Caenorhabditis elegans: one gene and its partner. The protein of the gene in region 1 interacts with the protein of each later gene in a pairwise test. Each region holds a gene or a part of one and is shown on either strand. Other genes may lie near its edges.

What was found. Proteins that work in one complex are often made in the same cells at the same time.
Region 2: the proteins of pak-1 (region 1) and spc-1 interact in a two-hybrid assay, tested with the Caenorhabditis elegans proteins (one large-scale study listed by BioGRID).

What each region holds. Positions count from the first base shown.
Region 1 is NC_003284.9:6,043,779-6,050,295, reverse strand, and holds pak-1 (Serine/threonine-protein kinase pak-1), read left to right. Parts: upstream 1-1,691; 5' UTR 1,692-1,697; coding exon 1,698-1,778; intron 1,779-1,937; coding exon 1,938-2,016; intron 2,017-2,064; coding exon 2,065-2,171; intron 2,172-2,719; coding exon 2,720-2,867; intron 2,868-2,915; coding exon 2,916-3,130; intron 3,131-3,174; coding exon 3,175-3,267; exon of another isoform or gene 3,268-3,416; intron 3,417-3,533; coding exon 3,534-4,101; intron 4,102-4,151; coding exon 4,152-4,225; intron 4,226-4,279; coding exon 4,280-4,402; intron 4,403-5,014; coding exon 5,015-5,086; intron 5,087-5,243; coding exon 5,244-5,402; 3' UTR 5,403-5,987; downstream 5,988-6,517. UniProt on the Caenorhabditis elegans protein: Required for hypodermal cell fusion, together with cdc-42 and ced-10, leading to embryonic body elongation, which involves dramatic cytoskeletal reorganization.
Region 2 is NC_003284.9:3,124,062-3,128,672, reverse strand, and holds the start of spc-1 (Spectrin alpha chain), read left to right. Parts: upstream 1-1,611; coding exon 1,612-1,814; intron 1,815-1,867; coding exon 1,868-1,952; intron 1,953-2,929; coding exon 2,930-3,055; intron 3,056-3,107; coding exon 3,108-4,611.

The DNA of each region.
Region 1 (6,517 bases):
CAACGACATCCTCCCCTCATCCGTCCGTTTTGCCCCTCCGCAGCTCTTTATCAATTGCCTTGGCCGCATCATCCGCGACCCACCGTACTAGTTATCTTTCTCTGTTTCCTCCATTCAATTGATAACACTAGAAAATGGCGCGCGTTCAACAAACACAGTGCCATTCTCCATTTCTAGCAAACAGTCCAGGTTTCGAACTGTTTTTTTTCTACATTGTGCAAAATGAGATTGGATTTCTTATCGACAGTGTAATAAAATCTTAGATACCTAGATTTTGTTTCTCATTTTTCTTTTTTTTTTTTCTTTCGGTTTTGTGATTTTCCTTTGGGTTTTTGCAGGTCTAGATTGTAAATATTCCCAAATTAACAGATTATGTAATGAGGATTCTCAAAAAATGTTCAACAATTTTTTATGGCGGTCTGAAATTTTAAAAACACCTAATTTTAATTAAAATTGGCTATTTTTTCATGTCTCAGCTGTTGGAAAATTTATTTTGAAGATTAGAATGTTTTTATTGCATATTGGTGATTTTCTTACATTATTTTGTTAATGAATGTACATTTAAAGCCCATACGTAATTGAAAATGGCCACAATCAACCCCCTATGATTTTTATGAGGTCTCATTATTAAATTTGTTCCTTTATGAACATTTTGAGTGCTTACAAGTAAAAACCCAAAACCGATACCCCTCCTTTAATCGAGAATAGTATTAGACCAAAAGTATCATCATTCACCGTTAGTATGAATGCAAACTTTTCAGCTTTTTTTCGGCTTTCACTTTCTAATTTCCTAAACTAGTTCTCAACATTGTCACTCACTCCGAACCTCGTTTCACAGTTTCTACTCTTTTCGGCTTCACACTTCTAGAACATTATCCGGCTGATTGCCACTTGGATGACAAGCGGGAAACAAGTACGCGAACACACGGTGGTGGGCGATAAAATGAAGTGAAACATGAATGACTCATATCATCACACTTTAAAAAAGATTCCCGTCTCTTCTTTTTCTCCTTTGAAAAATATTCCTTCTTCTTCCTCTGGCCCAGTTTATTCACCATCCATCATCTCCTAAACTTTGAAATCTTTCGTTTTGAAAACCAAAAAGCCATCTATCTTTTTCGGGTCAAACTCACGTCAGACGTTGGTTGCAGATAGGCTCTTTGAAGCAATAATGCAAATGAGAACTCCGAAGAAAAGGTCAAATTCTGGGTCCCACATTTTCCATAACTCCTACCCTGAGATTACTAAAAAAATATAGAAAAGCAATCCAATAGACGACCTCGAAAGGCGAAAGGGCCATGCTTTTTCGGTCCAAGATTACTCATAGCACTGGGTCAATGTCCTCTTTACACCATGTGTTGTGCATCCATTTCCCTGCCCGCTCCTATCAATTTCCTCTTTTGTTAGTCATAGTCCAACAATTTTTTTATAAGGGGGCGGTCAGCAATTTGTTCTTTCTTTTTCTGATTCTTTATTGTGATCGTTTTTCTATGTTTTTTTGACTCAACAAAACATGAATATTGGTTCCAATTTTCCTATTTTTCCAACAGTTTCGATTTCACTTGACAACGAAAATTCCTCCTAATTATTGTTTTCCTTTTTCAGTTTTACATTGCATACTGTATTCCTTCATTCTTTTTTGGTTTGATGCTTGTGTCTTCTTTTTCCAACAGTTTCAATTTTCCAGGCTTGCCAAAATGAAAGCTTTCTCATCGTATGATGAGAAACCACCAGCACCACCAATTCGTTTCAGCAGCTCGGCAACGAGGGAGAATCAGGTAATTAACTCGTCCCTCCACTCCTCCCCAAAGATGGGCGACAATCTTTCGAAGGTTCTTCTTCCAAATCAGATGATGCATGTGTTGCTTGCCCCTCTCCCACCCATCTCTATTTCTCTTTTTTCCATTCTCCATGTCTTGACTAACTCAATTTTTCAGGTCGTCGGATTGAAGCCATTGCCCAAAGAGCCAGAAGCAACCAAGAAAAAGAAGACGATGCCTAACCCGTTCATGAAAAGTAATATATTGCTCTTGTAACCATTCCTGATTTTCCTGTTTTTTTCAGAGAACAAAGACAAAAAGGAAGCGTCAGAAAAACCAGTGATCTCTCGACCGAGCAATTTCGAACACACAATTCATGTCGGATATGACCCAAAAACCGGCGAATTTACGGTCAGTATTTTTTCAAAAAGTTTTTGTAGCAGTTTTCCCACTCTTGCGTTACTTGCAAGATTATTTTCCAATGATGAACGAGTGATACAGCTGTCATTCTGACACCGGTCGCAACCGCTAATCGTACCAGATTAACGTGAATGCTAATAGTAAGCTAAAAACTAAAAACTACTACTTTTACTTTTTCCCTCAGTCAAAAAATCATTATAAACAAATCTCAATTTATAATAATATTTTGCAACCGTTAATTCAGTGCATTATCTTCTAAAAACGTGTTATTCTTGAAACCATGGTTAGTGTTAATAAAGCTTGCGTTTTTGAGACGTTTTAAGAAAACAAATCCATACGAGAAAAATTTAAGTGAAGCCAATTATCACGAACATGTATTCAACCAAAGATAGTTTCTTCTAAAGACCTATGAAATTGTCCCAATTTTTTTAGTATGAAGAGGTCTGTTTTGTCGAATAGACTTGAGAAACTACTGTAGAATCTTATTTATAAACTTTTCTCAGAAACTTTTGCTCCTTATCAACAATATAAATTTTCAGGGAATGCCTGAAGCATGGGCACGTCTTCTCACAGACTCACAGATCTCAAAACAAGAGCAGCAACAGAATCCTCAGGCAGTGTTGGACGCGCTCAAATACTACACACAAGGCGAAAGCAGCGGCCAGAAGTGGTTGCAGTACGATATGAGTAAGTAACCCGTAGTCAGTCTTGCTAATGGAGCTCATTCTTCTACAGTGTTTATAGATGACGCACCTTCTCGGACGCCATCATACGGACTGAAACCGCAACCATATAGCACATCATCCCTGCCGTATCATGGCAATAAAATTCAGGATCCAAGAAAGATGAATCCAATGACAACCAGTACAAGTAGTGCGGGGTATAACAGCAAGCAAGGAGTTCCTCCGACGACGTTTAGTGTAAATGAGAATAGATCGAGTATGCCACCGGTAAGTGGGAAGAATAATCTTGAAGTTCATATTGATTGCTTCAGAGTTATGCACCGCCACCGGTCCCCCATGGTGAAACTCCTGCTGATATTGTTCCTCCCGCTATCCCTGATAGGCCGGCAAGGACGTTGAGTATTGTGAGTAGAATTTTTGGTACTTGTGTATTACATGCCCTTAGTTTTAGAGTATTTTTTTAAGTTAAAAACAATAAAAACGTGTACCACATTTTTTATTTCTAGGTTTAGGAAATAATCTTTCTAAGCCTGGAGAGGAAAAATGTATATCACGTTTAAATTATATGGAGAAATGAATGAAAATTTAATTCAATTTCAAAATGAGGGCATGTAATACACAAGTACCGAATTTTTCCCAAGTTCTCTATAACATATAAGTATATTTTCAGTACACAAAACCGAAAGAGGAGGAAGAAAAAATTCCAGACCTTTCAAAAGGACAATTTGGTGTACAGGCCAGAGGTCAAAAAGCTAAGAAAAAGATGACTGACGCTGAAGTGCTGACTAAGCTCCGTACCATTGTGTCTATCGGAAATCCAGATCGAAAATATAGAAAAGTTGATAAAATCGGCTCAGGTGCATCTGGTTCTGTGTACACCGCTATTGAAATTAGTACCGAAGCGGAGGTGGCTATCAAGCAGATGAACCTGAAGGATCAACCAAAGAAGGAATTGATCATTAATGAGATTTTGGTGATGCGTGAGAATAAGCATGCAAATATTGTAAATTATTTGGATTCGTATTTGGTGTGCGATGAATTATGGGTAGTGATGGAGTATCTTGCCGGTGGATCATTGACTGATGTTGTCACGGAGTGCCAGATGGAGGATGGAATTATTGCAGCTGTTTGCAGAGAAGTTCTTCAAGCGCTTGAATTCCTCCACAGCCGCCACGTCATTCACAGAGATATTAAATCTGACAATATTCTTTTGGGAATGGATGGTTCGGTGAAATTGAGTAAGATTATAATTTTTAATGCTTTTGCAACCTACTTCTGTGAATTTCAGCCGACTTTGGATTCTGTGCTCAGCTCTCGCCGGAGCAAAGAAAACGCACGACAATGGTCGGAACTCCATACTGGGTGAGTGATGGAAATTGAAAAAGCGAATAGGAAATTAATGTTTGACAATTGCAGATGGCGCCGGAAGTGGTGACCCGCAAACAATACGGACCCAAGGTTGATGTGTGGTCCTTGGGAATCATGGCGATTGAGATGGTCGAAGGAGAACCGCCATATTTGAATGAAAATCCACTCAGGGTATGAAATATTTGCTTTTTTGAATTTAAGAAGACAACGCTTGATAATTGAAAAAAAAAACATGAATCTGAATATATGATTCCTTTCAATAACACTTGTGCTCGCAGAGTGTGAATGAGAAATGGAAATTTGTTGTTACAGCGATAAATTTGTTGCTTAATGAATTTCAAAAAAATCTAATTGGCCACTATTCCCTAGTAAGAATAGCAACCCCAGTTTTGCCCATAACGATCAGAAAATAATTTGGTTCAGGTTGAGGTCATGTTATTGAACAGGCGCCTAAGAAAAAATTTAGCAGAAACTTTACATTTTTCCGTAACTTCTCAGCTAACTTTAGCAACCAATCTCAAAAGTTGCAATAGTTGGGTAAAGTTGGTAAAAGTTAGGGATGACCCCCACCGCAAGATACAGATGTGCATTGAGAACTACCGAAAGCTGGGTAAACTTTGTTGAAAAATCGCTTAAGTTGAGAAGATTGAGACGTTGTTGAGAAGTTGCTGTAAAATGACGAGAAAGTTAAAGTTAAAGTTGTTTCAGCTATACTTAGGTTTTATAATTTTAGCTTAAAATTTCTCATCAATCAATATTGATCTTAAAAATATTTTTTTTCAGGCTATCTATCTCATTGCTACAAATGGCAAACCCGACTTCCCTGGAAGAGATTCCATGACTTTGTTGTTCAAGGTAAGAGAACTCGAGAACTTTCGAAACAGAAGATTTGATAAAAAAAATATTTGTTAACAGTTAGTCACAAATGTACAAAAGATGACTCAACTGCTACCGCAGTTTTACTTTACTTTCAGTACAGTATCAATTTCTCCCATTCTGTCCCAATTTCCAGGACTTTGTCGACTCTGCGTTGGAAGTACAAGTTGAAAATCGATGGTCGGCAAGCCAACTCCTTACGCATCCATTCCTCCGATGCGCCAAACCGCTTGCTTCACTGTACTACTTAATCGTTGCGGCGAAGAAGAGCATCGCCGAAGCTAGCAACTCATAATTATGATGATTGTATTCTCAATACACGACGTGTATTTCTTGTTCTTCTCAAATCTCAAGTCGTACTTACTTTGAAACTGTTTTCTTTTCTCTCCATCTCAAGTCATTTCTAACTATCTACTTTGAGCCCAACTTACCGTTTCCCAACAAAAAAGTCACACCTTAGTAATTTGTGTAATGTTTTCTGGAATCGATCACGAGTAAAAATTCAAGCCCCTTCATTATTTCACATCTTCCCCCTCTTTATCTCTTCTCGCAATGCACAATTTGGACTATCTCTTTTTTCTTGTTGTTGAGCGTTCCCAATCAGACGACACACTTCAATTATTTATGTAAGTTTTTTGTCTTCACTTTGTCTTCTTTTCATTCGGTTTCTTGCATTTGTGTCGTTCGAACGGAAATCTACAGTTAACCAGCTTTGCCCAAATTTCCCTATTTCTTTTTCAAGTGTCTGTAGGTGGGAACTATTGAAACTCTGTTTTCATGTGGTTTCCAATTTAAAAATCGGCCATAAGGTCAAAATCTTAAATTTTGTCTCATGACGTTTGAAACAATTGATCATGTTTAATAAAAGAGAGATGAATTTACTTATAGAATCAGAAAAGTTTTCAAAATAGTCAAATTTTGTTCAAGGAAATTGTACTATTTTCTTTTGAAAAATTATTTATTATTATTCCTGACCAGGTACATGGTATAAGGTAGTTTACCTCAAAAATTAGAAATGATAAATAGTTCATTTGAATGATTATGTTTAGACTATATATTTTATTCTAGAAATAGTTATTCTAGTAATTGCAGCAGCACAACTCAACTCCCACCACCACAATTTAGGTATATCTGAACTTTGTTGAGAGCAACTGTGCTAAAGGACACAAAAGTTACTCCAGAGGCTGATAATGTTGTCAGGCTGATTATTGATAATTTTAAAGGTTTTCAAGAACACGCACAACATATTTTAGCAAAACTTAAAAAATCAAGTCACATAACAAGTTGAATATGTGAATAATCCCTGTGAGTATTCTGGAACTATATTTTTCACCATAATAGTGATTGAAAGTTTCAGGAGCTTACAAATGTTTCATAGTGCTATAATGCCACTTTTTTCATATTTCTTAT
Region 2 (4,611 bases), 2.9 Mb from region 1:
AACGAAACGTCGCCCCGAGCTGTATCGAATTTCTTTGCCTCTTCTCAGAGTGTGACGAACTCGAAAACGAGAGAGAACTAATAGTTTTCATTTGTGTTTCCTTCTCCTTCATTGCCGTCCTTCACTCATGTGTCCGCAGGAAGTTTTCGAACGCAGGTGGCCTCCATCCGGCACTTGACAGATTTGGCGCGGCTCCCCGTTTCCGGTGTTTGCTCACTTTTGTTATGAACCAAAGCTTGACCATGTCACTTAAGAAAAAAGCCCTTGAAGAATCCCTTTTTCGGCTTTTTGTGTGGATGCTTTTAGATTTGATAGAATGGGGTCCCCTATTGTTTTAAATCATTCAGTTGTTTAGCGTAAGTGGATGTAGTTATTTGAGTTTGGAGGTTTTGTATCGTGGTTTTTAAACTAAAACGAATATTCTTTTGTGCAAAGAAATTTCTAATTTGCTCATTTACTCACTTTTACTTCCAAATTTTGAAGTTATGTTTTTTCGGTTATCCTTCCCGCTTTCCCGCTTCCCGTTTTAATAATTTCTGTCACTTTCTCTTTCATCATCACTTCTTCCGTTCCAAATCGATTACCCAATTTTATTGACAACACATCAGTGAAACTTGCAAATATTTGGAGGACATACTTTATACTCCATCTCCGAATATATACATAAATGTGTGGTCGGTGGTGTGTGTGTTGGCGGAGACCCCGGAGAGAGAGAGAGAGTCAAACTGCGAGTAACTGGAGAGATGGAGGATGATGCATTCGGTGAGGGACTGTGTGCTGTTGAGAGGAAATCGCTGGCATTTAATAGAAGAGTGCGTTTTTGTGAGTGTGTGTGTGTGTGAGTGTGTGTGAGGGCAGTCAGAGCGCGGCTGTGTGCGAGGCTGAGCGGGACGAGCGCGTCCAGGCCTGCAGTCGTCTCCCCTCTTGTTGTCTCTGCTTCTCTAGCCACACTCTCTCGTTCTCTGCATTCGGTTTTGTGTTGGTGTTGTGGACGCGGGGGTCGTTTTGGGCGATCGATAGCTGCCAGCTCTTCTTGTACTTGAACCAGTTGAAGTCATCTCCTTTTTTCACTTTGAGAGCATATTCTTTCTTGTTTCATCATTTTCAAAATTTGCTGCATTGTGCAAAACCCCTTTTTTGTAATGTCTCTTCTGTTTCTGACAGCTGTGTGTTCAATTTCAACACAGCTTGTAAACGGCGGAGTCGGAGTTAGTCTGACTCATCGAAATATTGTTATCAGTTCAAAAATGTTGACAGTTGTGTGGGCTGGAAATGGAACCACCTTTTAAAATTACTTTTGACATGATATACTTTTTGAGTAACACTTTCTTGGTAAATTTTCATTCGTAGAATTTATAAGCTTATTAAATTAAAGCCACAAGCTTTCCCATTTTCTATTATTTTTTGTCTCCCAGGTGATTCTTTTCCGCACTTCGTCATTATTTGTTCCCACGTTGTATTTATCCTCTAAAGCTCTCTCTGATTTTTTTTGTTACATTCTTCTCATTTATTTGCTCATTTGTTTCTGTTACGGTCTCTTCATAATCAACTTTCTTTCATTTTCATTTCTATGGAGGTTTTAAAACAATTGTTTTTCAGCGAAATAAGATTATGGCTGATTCGAATGACACTCATGCTCCACCAGAGCCGGTGCTAGAAGTACCGCCACCACAGGAGATTCGTATTCTGGAGACTGCTGATGACATTCACCAACGTCGTCAGGAAGTATTAGGTCACTATTCAATTTTCAAGGATCACTCGCAGACAAAACGAGATCGTCTCGAGGAAGCTCGTCAGTTTCAATATTTCAAACGGTTAGTTCTAAAATTTTGTTGGGTTGTCTAGAATTCTAATTTTTCTGTTAAAGAGATGCTGATGAGTTGAACGTTTGGATTCTTGAAAAGCTCCAGACAGCTCAGGAAGAAAACTTCAGAGATCCGAGCAATCTCCAGGTTGGTACCATCTTCTCATTATTTCTCAGTCGTATTCATCATCTATTTCAAAGTTATCTAAAACATAAATTTTCTGTGGTTGGTCCCCAGCTTTCCATTCTCAATCCTTTTTGACGACAACTCGCACAATTCTTTTCTCTTGGTTCATTTTCCCTCGGGGGGACACTCGGACCCCTTTCTTCTGCTGCCTTGTTTGGGGGCACACAAATGTCTTTTGGGAGCAACGACAAAGGCGCAGCAGCAAAAATATATTGATTTGAGTGGTTCGCTTCAGCGCTTTTCTCTGTGCCTTCGTTTCGAGAAACGCATCTGCGACCCCCAACATGCATGCTCACTTGAAGATTAGGAACTGAAAGCAATGTAGTGCACAATTACATTTATAAACAATTGGCTCGAGTAGAGAGGAGTACATGTGAATTTTGCTAACTTAGTTATTTTCTGGGAAGCAGAAAAGATGAAAATGAAATCTTTTTACACAATATCGTCATTTTGGAAGATATGAGCGCTAGAAATTAGGAGTTAAAAAGTCTTTGAGGAAACAATTTTTTACTGCTCCTAATATCATTCACCTTTACTTATAATGAAACACACTGAAAACCCAATAAATTCCTGTGGGGGTTCCAATTAATCCTCGCCGCCGTTTTTTATCATGCGTTCCGATCGAAAGATGAGATGAATACATATAGTAATAGACGGGAATCTATAAAAAGTCGGGCGTTCGTACACGGCCTTGACACTGCGTAATCGCAACTGACGTGACCTGACTTGATCCGCCGGTTTCCTGTAATGCCTGGAATGATAAGTAATACTGACGAGTAAGAAGATAGATGAGGCGATTATGTTTCTGTTGCTAGGTTTAGCGGTTGAAAAAAAAATGAGAGTAAGAGTTGACTAGTTTTGAAGCATGAATTGAAAGAGAAAATTTTTTTACATCAAAATGAAAGTATGATCAAATGTAAATCATAAAACATTTTCAGGCCAAGATCCAGAAGCATGAAGCGTTCGAAGCTGAGGTTCAAGCTCACGCTAAGACCATCGCCAACCTCGACAAGACCGGAAACGCTATGATCCAACACAATCATTTCGCTAGCGAACACATCAAGGTACTTAAAATCACTAAAGACATTTGACAGTCTGATGATTAATTATTTTCAGAAACGCTTGGAAGAGTTGCACGCCCTCTGGGATAAGCTCTTCTTCAAACTGAAGGATAAGGGAATTAAGCTACAACAAGCACTTAAACTTTTGCATTTTATTCGTCAATGCGATGAAATTCTCTACTGGATTCGAGAGAAGGAAACCTATGTCACCGCAGAAGACATGGGAATGGATCTCGAACACGTTGAGATACTTCAGCGTAAATTTGACGACTTTTTGAAAGAACTCGGTAACCATCAGTACCGAATCAATGAGATCAATCAAGCTGCTGACAAACTTGTCGAGGAGGGACACTCTGAGCACGATCAGATCTACAAGAAGCGCGATGACGTTAATGATGCTTGGCATCGTTTGAACACTTTGGCGGCCACTCGTAAGGAAGGGCTCTTTGGAGCTCATCAAGTTCAACGCTTCAATCGCGATGCAGACGAGACCCTTGCATGGATTGGAGAGAAGGATCTTGCTTTGTCAAGCGATGATTACGGAAGAGACCTCAATAATGTTCAAGCTCTTCAACGCAAGCATGAAGGAACTGAACGTGATCTTGCTGCTCTTGAAGGAAAGATGCTCCAATTGGAGAAAGAAGCTCATAAGTTGGCAGAAACTCATCCAGATCGTGCTGAAGCGATTCATCAAAAGAACGATGACACCAAAGCCGCCTGGAATGCACTCAAGGAGAAGGCTCAACACCGCAAAGATGGACTTGAGAGAAGCTTCCAGCTTCATCGTTTCTTGGCCGACTACCGTGACTTGATTAGCTGGATTGGAGACATGAAAGCTGTCATCGGAGCTGATGAGCTTGCAAAAGACGTGGCTGGCGCTGAAGCTCTTCTTGAAAGTCATCAAGAACACAAGGGAGAAATTGATGCTCGTGCTGACTCGTTCAACCAAACTGCATCCGCTGGACAAAAGCTCGTTGAGATGGGAATTCCAGAGAGTCCAGAAGTTCAGGAGAAGCTCGAGAAACTTGACCACGAGAAGTCTTCTCTTCTTGGATTGTGGGAGGAACGTCGTATTCTCTACGAGCAATGTATGGATCTCCAACTCTTCTATCGTGACACTGAACAAGCCGAAACCTGGATGAACAAGCAGGAAGCGTTCCTTGCCAACACTGATTTGGGAGATTCACTAGATTCTGTCGAGCACCTCATCAAGAAACACGAGGACTTTGAGAAATCGCTTGCTGCTCAAGAGGAGAAGATCAATGCACTTGACGAGTTTGCTACCAAGCTCATTCAAGGACAGCATTACGCTGCTGATGATGTTGCCGAGAGACGCCAAGCTCTTCTTGACCGTCGTCGTCGTCTTCTAGACAGAGCTCGTCAACGTGGAAATGCTCTCAAGGAAAGCTACAAGCGCCAGACATTTGACCGTGACTGTGATGAGATGGTTAGCTGGATCACTGAAAAACTGTCCACCGCTCGTGACGATTCTTACTTGGATCCTACCAACATTCGTGGAAAACTCCAAAAGCACATCAACTTTGAGCAAGAGCTTAAGG